Rattus norvegicus: one gene and its partner. The protein of the gene in region 2 purifies or fractionates together with the protein of the main gene of each other region. This does not show direct contact. Links are inferred from orthologs where the notes say so. Each region holds a gene or a part of one and is shown on either strand. Other genes may lie near its edges.

Region 1 (3,816 bases), on a different chromosome or scaffold from region 2:
TAGTGTCCTCAGCATCCGTCCCCACTGTGCATTCTGTCTTTGGAATCCTCGTGGGGAATTAGCATAGAATTGTGTTACCCAGCAGAAGGCAGGACTGGTCTTGCCTAATACACAGGGGTGTGACAGAAGTGGTTCCATGAGTTAAGTTGCGAGCATAAGTTTCTGTTTCAGAGGAGCCTTAAATGTGTTCCGCAGTGTTTATGGATACTATAGCTGTGTGCATGTACAGGAAAGTGTGAAAACCTAAAGTGCCTCATTCCGGGGAAGTTGGTGTCCTCTTTAAAGCCTGATTGTGGCTCTGACTGGAACCCTGGCTGCATGGCAGCCGCCTGGGCATTCCTCAGATGTATCTTTAAAGTCTGAACATAGATGTCCATTAAAAGCAGCTTCATGTTTTTATAAGTGATTGATAAGGAGGTTTCTAAATTTTTAAAGACTCTATCATTTTTATCATTATATTTATTGTTATAGTTTTGTTCCTAGGAAGTTTTTCTGTGCTTCCCTTCTACAAAAACTTATCATGAAAGAATGTTTTATGCTATATCTTGCCAAGAGTCCTTAAAGGGTCCTTGTCAGTTTTTACACCAAATTCAGTAATTTTAAGTTAACACTTCGTAGCAATTATAAGTAATAATGTAGCTATTTTTCTTCTCTCTTGGAAAGAGTACCAGATGATAAAACCATTAATGAAATTCTAAAACCTTACATCGATCCCGAAAAGTCTGATCCTGTGATTCGTCAGAGGTATGTTTCAAAAATCTTGTAGCTTTCTGACAAGATTTAAAATGTTGACTTAAAATGTTGTATGACTGCACTTTGCACACACTTGCTTCAGAACACATATGGAGTACAGAAAGCTTCGGAGAATGCCTCTCTCCTTCACCATGCGGCTCTCAAGTTAGAACTTAGACCCCCAGGCCGCACCACAAGCATCCTTACTTGCTGGGTCATCTTGCTGGATGGTATTTGTTTTCAGGTGGTATTTGTTACAGGAAGTTGTGGCTATATTTAAATATGTCGTTGAAATTGCTGTGGTTCAGTCACTGTAAAACTAGTGCCATTTACTGTACCACAAATACTCCTCAGATAGATAGTATTGGAATTCATTTAACTGTTGCAGCAGCTCTGTGTGGTCAGACACTAACTCATACCCATTTTACAGATGAAGAAACTGAGCCTTAAGTAGGTTAAATAACCCCCTATGAACCAATAAGCAAGGAAGCTGGGATTCAGATCCTTTTGGGACTGAAGTCTGCAGTCTCAGCTTTAGACCAGACTGCCGTTCACATTGAACCAAAAATTCTAAAACTTAAAGCTTTTCTAGTAACTGTTTAAAAAAGACAGGAAATTGTATTTCAGCCAAGTCCTCAAAGAACTAAATAAGGTTATACTCTGCCTCCAGAACTACAGCATGGTCAAAAGTGGCTAGCACAGCTTAGTGGACAGTTTGATCCTGGATATACAAATTAAATAGCTATCTTTGTCTGCCTCTTGGGAACTGTGTGGTCAGAGCAGACTGCTTCACCACCATGCTTTCCTTTCCCCATCAGTGGAATTAGAATAATACCAAGGAAACGTCAGGAAGTGTGAGAGAGAGAAGTATCAGGTCTTCAGGGCCTGGCATTCTCTCAGCAGTGCTCAGACGTGAAGCTTGGTAGTGGGTTGGTCTCCTGTCAGTGTTCCCGGGCAGGAGTGGAGCGACTTTCTTCTGGAGGTGGGAGTGCGGGTTTGGTTCCCAGAGGGTTGAAGTTTGCACCAGGTGGACCCTGAGTGTCTGATGTCATCCTGTTGTCTCTCACTATTGAAGAAGACAGTGCCAGCCAGACTCCTGCAGGCTGTGCAGGGGCTAGCCTTGTCTATGGGGCAGCTCTGAGATGATCAGCTGATAATCTGGTTATCCTTGCTCAGATACTTGGCGTTGGTGGGAAGCATTCGTTACTAAGGCGAAGGCAGTGTATTGTGAGCAGCGGGCTGCTGGTGCAAGTGTGTTAGGCACATGTAGACTTCAGATGTGCAACCAGCTCTAGCTAGGTATTGCTTTTACATCTTGCTTAGAAAACATCTTTTTTTCTCTCTCAATTTTTGGATAAACGAATTATAAACATTAGCTACTCATAAATGTGTTTAGTCTCTATAAAGACTATCTTGAAATAGATTAAAAATTAATTTTGGAAAAAAATTAATTTTGCTTCCTCCATGCATTGTTTTCTTTCAGATTGAAAGCCTACACACAGTCCCAGACTGGGGTCCAAATTTTAATGAGGGTCGAAAATATGCAACAAAATTTGATAAGGTAAAATGATTTCCCTTGTTTCTCTATGTGTAATGAACTAGCTTGATTGGGTTAAGTAGCTAACTATTATACTGATTTGTTTTGCTGTCAACAAAAATCTAGAACTCTAAACTTACCACTTTCAAGTTTAAATACTAAATAATCCCACACTTACAAGTTTTATAGCAATCGCCTGTCTGTTTTTGTGGCTTTTCAAGGCAGAATTTCTCTGTGTAGTCCTGGCTGCCTTGGATCTTGGACCAGGCTGGCCTCAAACTCACAGAGATCCACTGGCCTGTCTCCTGGGCGGTGTGATTAAAGGTATGTGCCAGCATGCTGGGCTGAGCATTTTAACATATCCTCGGGAATAGCCAAAAAGTCCCGCATATCTCAAGAATGTGAGTTCCGATGTTCATTCATAGTTTTGGAAGCTCAAACTCACATAATCAGGCGGCTACTGCTGCACACGCTGTCTTAGAAAGACCGCCACATAGAAAGACAAAGAGGGATTCGGGCAAGCCATGAGCTGAGAAAGGATCACTGGGCTTTGCTCATCAATGACTAGATCACTTCTGGAGCCAGTTCTCCACCACTAAGCTGCAACAACTCCTTGTGCTAGGCTGCTACTGATGGGTGATAGTAAAAGTGCTGGCCATCTTGGTTCCTCAAATCTCTAGCTTTAATCTTCTGCATTGAAAGGAAAGAAAGTATGGGGGGGGGGGGGTGTTGTGCTATCTGAGGTAACTGCAAGAAGCAGACATCACCGTTCAGGGACTGTACAGATGGTTTGCTTGTTGTTCGCATCAGTACTTGAACCTGACACCAGATTACTTTTAAAAGTGAAATAATAATTCATTTTAGTTATTTTTAGTATGAACTTGTTGTGGTTACCTTATACATACCTATTCAGGTAGCCTGATAATTTACCAGACCTGGGGAAGGCAGCCCGGATCATTCTTATGCAGTCAAAAAACAAAAGGAAATTATTTGCATTCTGGGCTTGTTTGTTTATTGGTTATTTGGTTTGTTTAGGTTGCTATATTGTTCCCATTTTCCTTCATTAACTGTAAGGTGAGGTTTATTCTGCTTGGATTTAAGCCATGGTAGCTTGGTCTGTGGACAGTGAACCAAGGTAGGAAGTGCTCATTAAACTGGTCAGATCTGCCTGTTGGGCACAGTGTTCACATCCAAAACTCAAGGACGTCAGTGTATTTTTGATAAAAGATAATTATAGGATACTCAAGACTACAGTACAGACGGCTGGGCTGATGGTAAATATTTTAACACTAGAAGTTTGTGTTAACAAAGACAAACTGTAGAAGACAGAAGAGCAGCAGAAGTGCTTGTCAGAGGACATGAGGCGGAGAGCAGGTCAGTGAACGGTCAGTCTGGAACCAGTCAACTTGGGAAGACTTAGACAGTCGGTCCCAGCAGTGAGCCTGAGCTTACACCTCATTTGCTACAACTGAATTTCCTAAGAGAACGGCCTGTTTTTATTAGTTATATGACTGAGATCCCTTATCAGTGAATGTTGTTTAGTGAGA
Region 2 (4,266 bases):
TTCTTTTCTGCAAGGCAAAAGAAGCAGTAAGACTTCTTGGGTAATCTCTTAACCAAACACAACTATTCCAAGAAGACATATTTGATTTGTTTTAAAACACACTCCTAGGGTTGGGGATTTAGCTCAGTGGTAGAGCACTTGCTTAGCAAGCTCAAGGCCCTGGGTTCGGTCCTCAGCTCCGGAAAAAAAACACTCCTGGGGTGGGATGACTTCCTCTATTTATCAATATAGCAAAAGTCAGGCACAATGAGCAAAATTTAAATCTAAAAAGAGTAAATGCAAACTGTAGATTTCAAGCTGGAGACCGTTACGAAGATCTGATACTGACCTGTTAGTTCTACAAATACCAAGCATCTTACAGAGGATATTACTATATGGAAACTGATCTCCATTTTCTAAGGGTTACGCTACTGTTAACATTAAATGGACTGTTAGTTGACATACTGTACTCTTGTAATATTAACAGTTCAAGTCACACAGTTTTCACAGTAAGAGAACACTAATTTCATGTTCTAAACATTAGTCAACTTACTCCAAACTAATTGTGAGACTTACACGGAAAAGAGGAAACCCAGCCTGTAAGTTAGGTTCAGGCCAGAATAAAGAAGACCCATTTTATGTAGCATTTTCTTGTGACGTATAACCAGGCATCGTTCCTCATTTGAAAAAACTGGTTCCAGGCCAGAGAGATGCCTCAGCGGGGAGAAGCACCTGCTGCCAAGCCTTCGGACCTGAGTTCAATCCCCAGGACCCATGGTAGGATAATTAACGCCTGCAAGTTATTTTCTTAACTCCTCACAGACACACCCACCCCCAACAAAAATAAATGTAAAATAAGAAAAAGGCCTTCATAACAATGACAAATGAAAAGATGGAATCCTTACAACCAGGACAAACAACACCAATAACACAATAAATCCTGCCTGAATTTAAGACATCCACACTATGTGGGTAATATAAACTCTCCTAAATTAAAAACATTAGATTATAGCTTGAGTTTAACAAGAAAAGAAAGGGGGTGGGGAGAGTTCTGCTTTTATATCACACATTCTTCTAAATTAAAAACAGCAAGATTGCCAGGATGGTGGCTCACACCTTTAATCCCAGCACTATGGAGGCAGAGGCAAGCTGAACCTGGTCTAAAAATTGAGTCCAAGACATCCAGGGCCCTGTTAAACAGAGAAACCCGGGTTTGAAAAATAAAATAAAAATTAAAAAGGCAAAAGATTGGTCAATACAATCTGTGCTTCCAACTCAGTTAAGGAAAACCTGGGACCTCCAGTCTTCTCCTAAAATTGCAGCTGTCAGTCCCAATCTTCGTAGTTTTGTAACAGTGGTTCTCAACCTTCCCAATGCTGTAGCCCTTTAATATATTCCTCATGCTGTGGTGACCCCAACCATAACATTACTTTCGTTGCCACTTTACAATTGTAATTTTGCTACTGTTATGAATCGTAATGCAAAATCTGATAGGCAGCACATCTGATCCACGACCCCTGTGAAAGGGACCTTCAACCCTAGGTTTTAAACTTTACCAGTTTCAACATTCACATATATTTGTAAGCATAATTCTCTACTATGCCTGTGTACCAAGACAGTTTTAATGTTCTCTTTCTTTTCTTATAATTTCATCATTTATTTTTCAGTGCTATTCTGTTTCAACATTTTACTTCCAACTAAGTTCCTTAAAAATACTACCCTAGTAAAGCTCTACATGTCCAAAACAGATGTAAAACACTGACAGTTACAACATAACAAACAAAGCAGTAAACAGTAAGATTCAAAATGCCACATTTATCATCCCCGAATTACCTTCTTTTTCTGTTTTCTGTTTTGAGGCAAATTGAAGTCATTGTAATTTGCATATGATTGTGGAAAATAAGAATGTGTAGCTAAAAAAGAGAAGAGAGTTTCATTTAAGATTGCAAATGTACAATTATTTATCACTTTTTTTTTTCTTAGATAAAAACAGAAAATGTGTAGGTAGCATGGAGTGCAGGTACCCTGAGAGGCCAGAAGACAGTTATCAGCTCCTTTGAAGTTGGAGTTACAGGCAGTTAAGAACCGCCCAGTGTGGGTATTGAGAACCAAGCTCCGGTCCTCTGCAAGAGCAATAGATTCTCTTCGTCGTCAACCCATTTCTCCACCTCTTATCAATCTCTTTCTAATGCATAATATAATCATTTCTTTCTAATACCCACTTTTATCTCCTGAATCCTGTCTCCCTACACTGAGGAGATAAGAAGCTCCCAAAAGGTAAGGATTTTTGCATGTTTTGTTGACTGCTATGTAAGTAGCCCCCAGTTTTATAGCTGGGTTGAATTAATAAATTTTGAATGACCCGGTGGAGGGAAACCTAGTGAGACACATTTTAAATACTCATTACCAGCCTCCAAAACTACAGCGCAAAGCTGCAAGATAAAAAGAGAAAGCTGGGAGAGAAAAGGAAGAGAAAGTAAAGAAGGACCATTATCAACAGCAGCTTACCCGGAGAGTGGAAGGACGTGTTATATGTGGGGAAACCATTAGGAGACAATCCCCAGTACCAAGGCGTCGAGGCTTGGAAATTCCAGGCCTGCTGGTCGTTGAACTGAGATTGACCATCTGGAGGGGCCTGGGCATCAAAAGGAGGCTGCGCCGCGGGAAGAATCTGAGCATCGAACGGGGGAAACGCTCCGGAGGTAGGCTGGGGCTCCACGTGGGGCTGTTCCTTCTGACACGGCTCCGTCCCCGCCACCGGGGACGACAGAGGAGGTGGTGGCGGCGGCAGCATGGCCCAGTACACCCAGTTGTCCTGAGGCGGCGCCGCTTCGCTCGGAGTCCCGGGCGCGGGAGTCAGTTCCGGGGCTGAAGGCCACCCGGCAGGAGTCGGCTCAGCCATGCCACCTAGAGCAAACAGCAAGCCCAAAGTGCAATTGTGGAACTAACATTAGACGTCACTTCCGTTACGACCATCTGTCAACGAGCCAATCGCGGGCTTACGTCATCAGACGAAGCCGGAAAAGTTTCCGGCCCTGGCTGTAAATCCTAGTCTACGGTCCAGCAGGCTGTGTTTAAACTGCGTGTGCAAGTGGGCTTGGGCTTTGAGCGACTGTGCGTTGCAGCGAATGGCTAGGGACCTGATCGGGCCGGCACTGCCGCCTGGCTTCAAGGAGCGCGCAACAGTTGAGGACCAGGAGCGGGACCCGAGCCCCGGTAAGCAGCAGCGGGCGTCAGCACTCGCGGGAAGGACTGGCAACCACCGCGGAGTTGGCGCGGTCCACCCTGAGGAGCAAGCTAGGCACGCAGGAGTGTTTGGGACCTGATCATCATTAGTTTGGGACCTGATCATCATTAAAATGACACCAGTCCCAATTTGCTATTAATGCGAACAGGACTGTGCTAACTGATCAATCTTCGTCCGGTCGTCTGTTTAACCCTTCCATCAACTGTATAAGAAAAGATGATGGAGAGTGCGTGTGTTACAAACGATGACAGCGGGTGGAGAATTTGTACCTAAGACACACAGCTAGTCAGTGGTGAAGTCCAAATTACAACCTAGTGTCTCTATACCTTCGGATTTAGAAGTCTCTCGCTGAAGATCCTGTGCCTCCCTCTCCCTAGCCTGACTTCCTGGCCTCATTCTAGCATTCCATCTCACACACGCAGCCCAGTGCTCACACAGTCCAGTGCTTTGACGATAGGCTTTTTTGGGCTGCTCTGGTTGTACTTAAACACCTGACAACTCTAAAACGTCCTTCAAATACCAGTTTAAGTGTTACCTTCCTGAGCATTGCCACCAACTGTATAAGAAAAGATGGATGGTGCATGTGTTACAAATGGTGACAGCTACTTTTAACTGTAGAGCTTTTCATAAGTGCCCTCAGGGTTCATCTTTGTAACATTCTTCGGAGTTTCCTTCTAGTGAGGACTCCTGGTCTAGACTTAAACTTTATCAGCCACATTTTACAGAGCAACAAAGTAACAGAGGCAAGCTAACTAACGGATGCAATCCATATAGTAGTAAGTGGCAGAGTACAGATTCAAAGCCAAAGACTCCAACTCCAAAGCTTGGAGCCTTTCCTTCCTTTGGGTTAGACGTTCAGCCTCCAGCATCGGTGGAGAGTGCATAGCTTGTTCTCTCCTGCTGATTCTTCCTGTCTAGAATGTTCTTTTGGATTGTGACCACTGTTGTCTCATCACTTACATAGTAACCTTTCCTGGCCATTGTCTTCCAAATTTCCCCCCTCCACACAGACACATGTTTTTACTGTTTCAATATAAGTG

What was found.
Region 1: the proteins of Nufip1 (region 2) and Znhit6 purify together in Homo sapiens (affinity purification with western blotting; 3 studies listed by BioGRID and IntAct, with this or other methods). This does not show direct contact. The link is inferred for Rattus norvegicus from reciprocal best matches to the Homo sapiens genes NUFIP1 and ZNHIT6.

What each region holds. Positions count from the first base shown.
Region 1 is NC_086020.1:237,164,041-237,167,856, forward strand, and holds part of Znhit6 (box C/D snoRNA protein 1), read left to right. Parts: intron 1-663; coding exon 664-744; intron 745-2,215; coding exon 2,216-2,293; intron 2,294-3,816. UniProt on the Homo sapiens protein: Required for box C/D snoRNAs accumulation involved in snoRNA processing, snoRNA transport to the nucleolus and ribosome biogenesis.
Region 2 is NC_086033.1:57,837,482-57,841,747, reverse strand, and holds the start of Nufip1 (FMR1-interacting protein NUFIP1), read right to left. Parts: upstream 2,885-4,266; 5' UTR 2,882-2,884; coding exon 2,488-2,881; intron 1,893-2,487; coding exon 1,813-1,892; intron 8-1,812; coding exon 1-7. Other genes in the region: Gpalpp1 (GPALPP motifs-containing protein 1), read left to right, coding at 3,108-3,195. UniProt on the Homo sapiens protein: Binds RNA.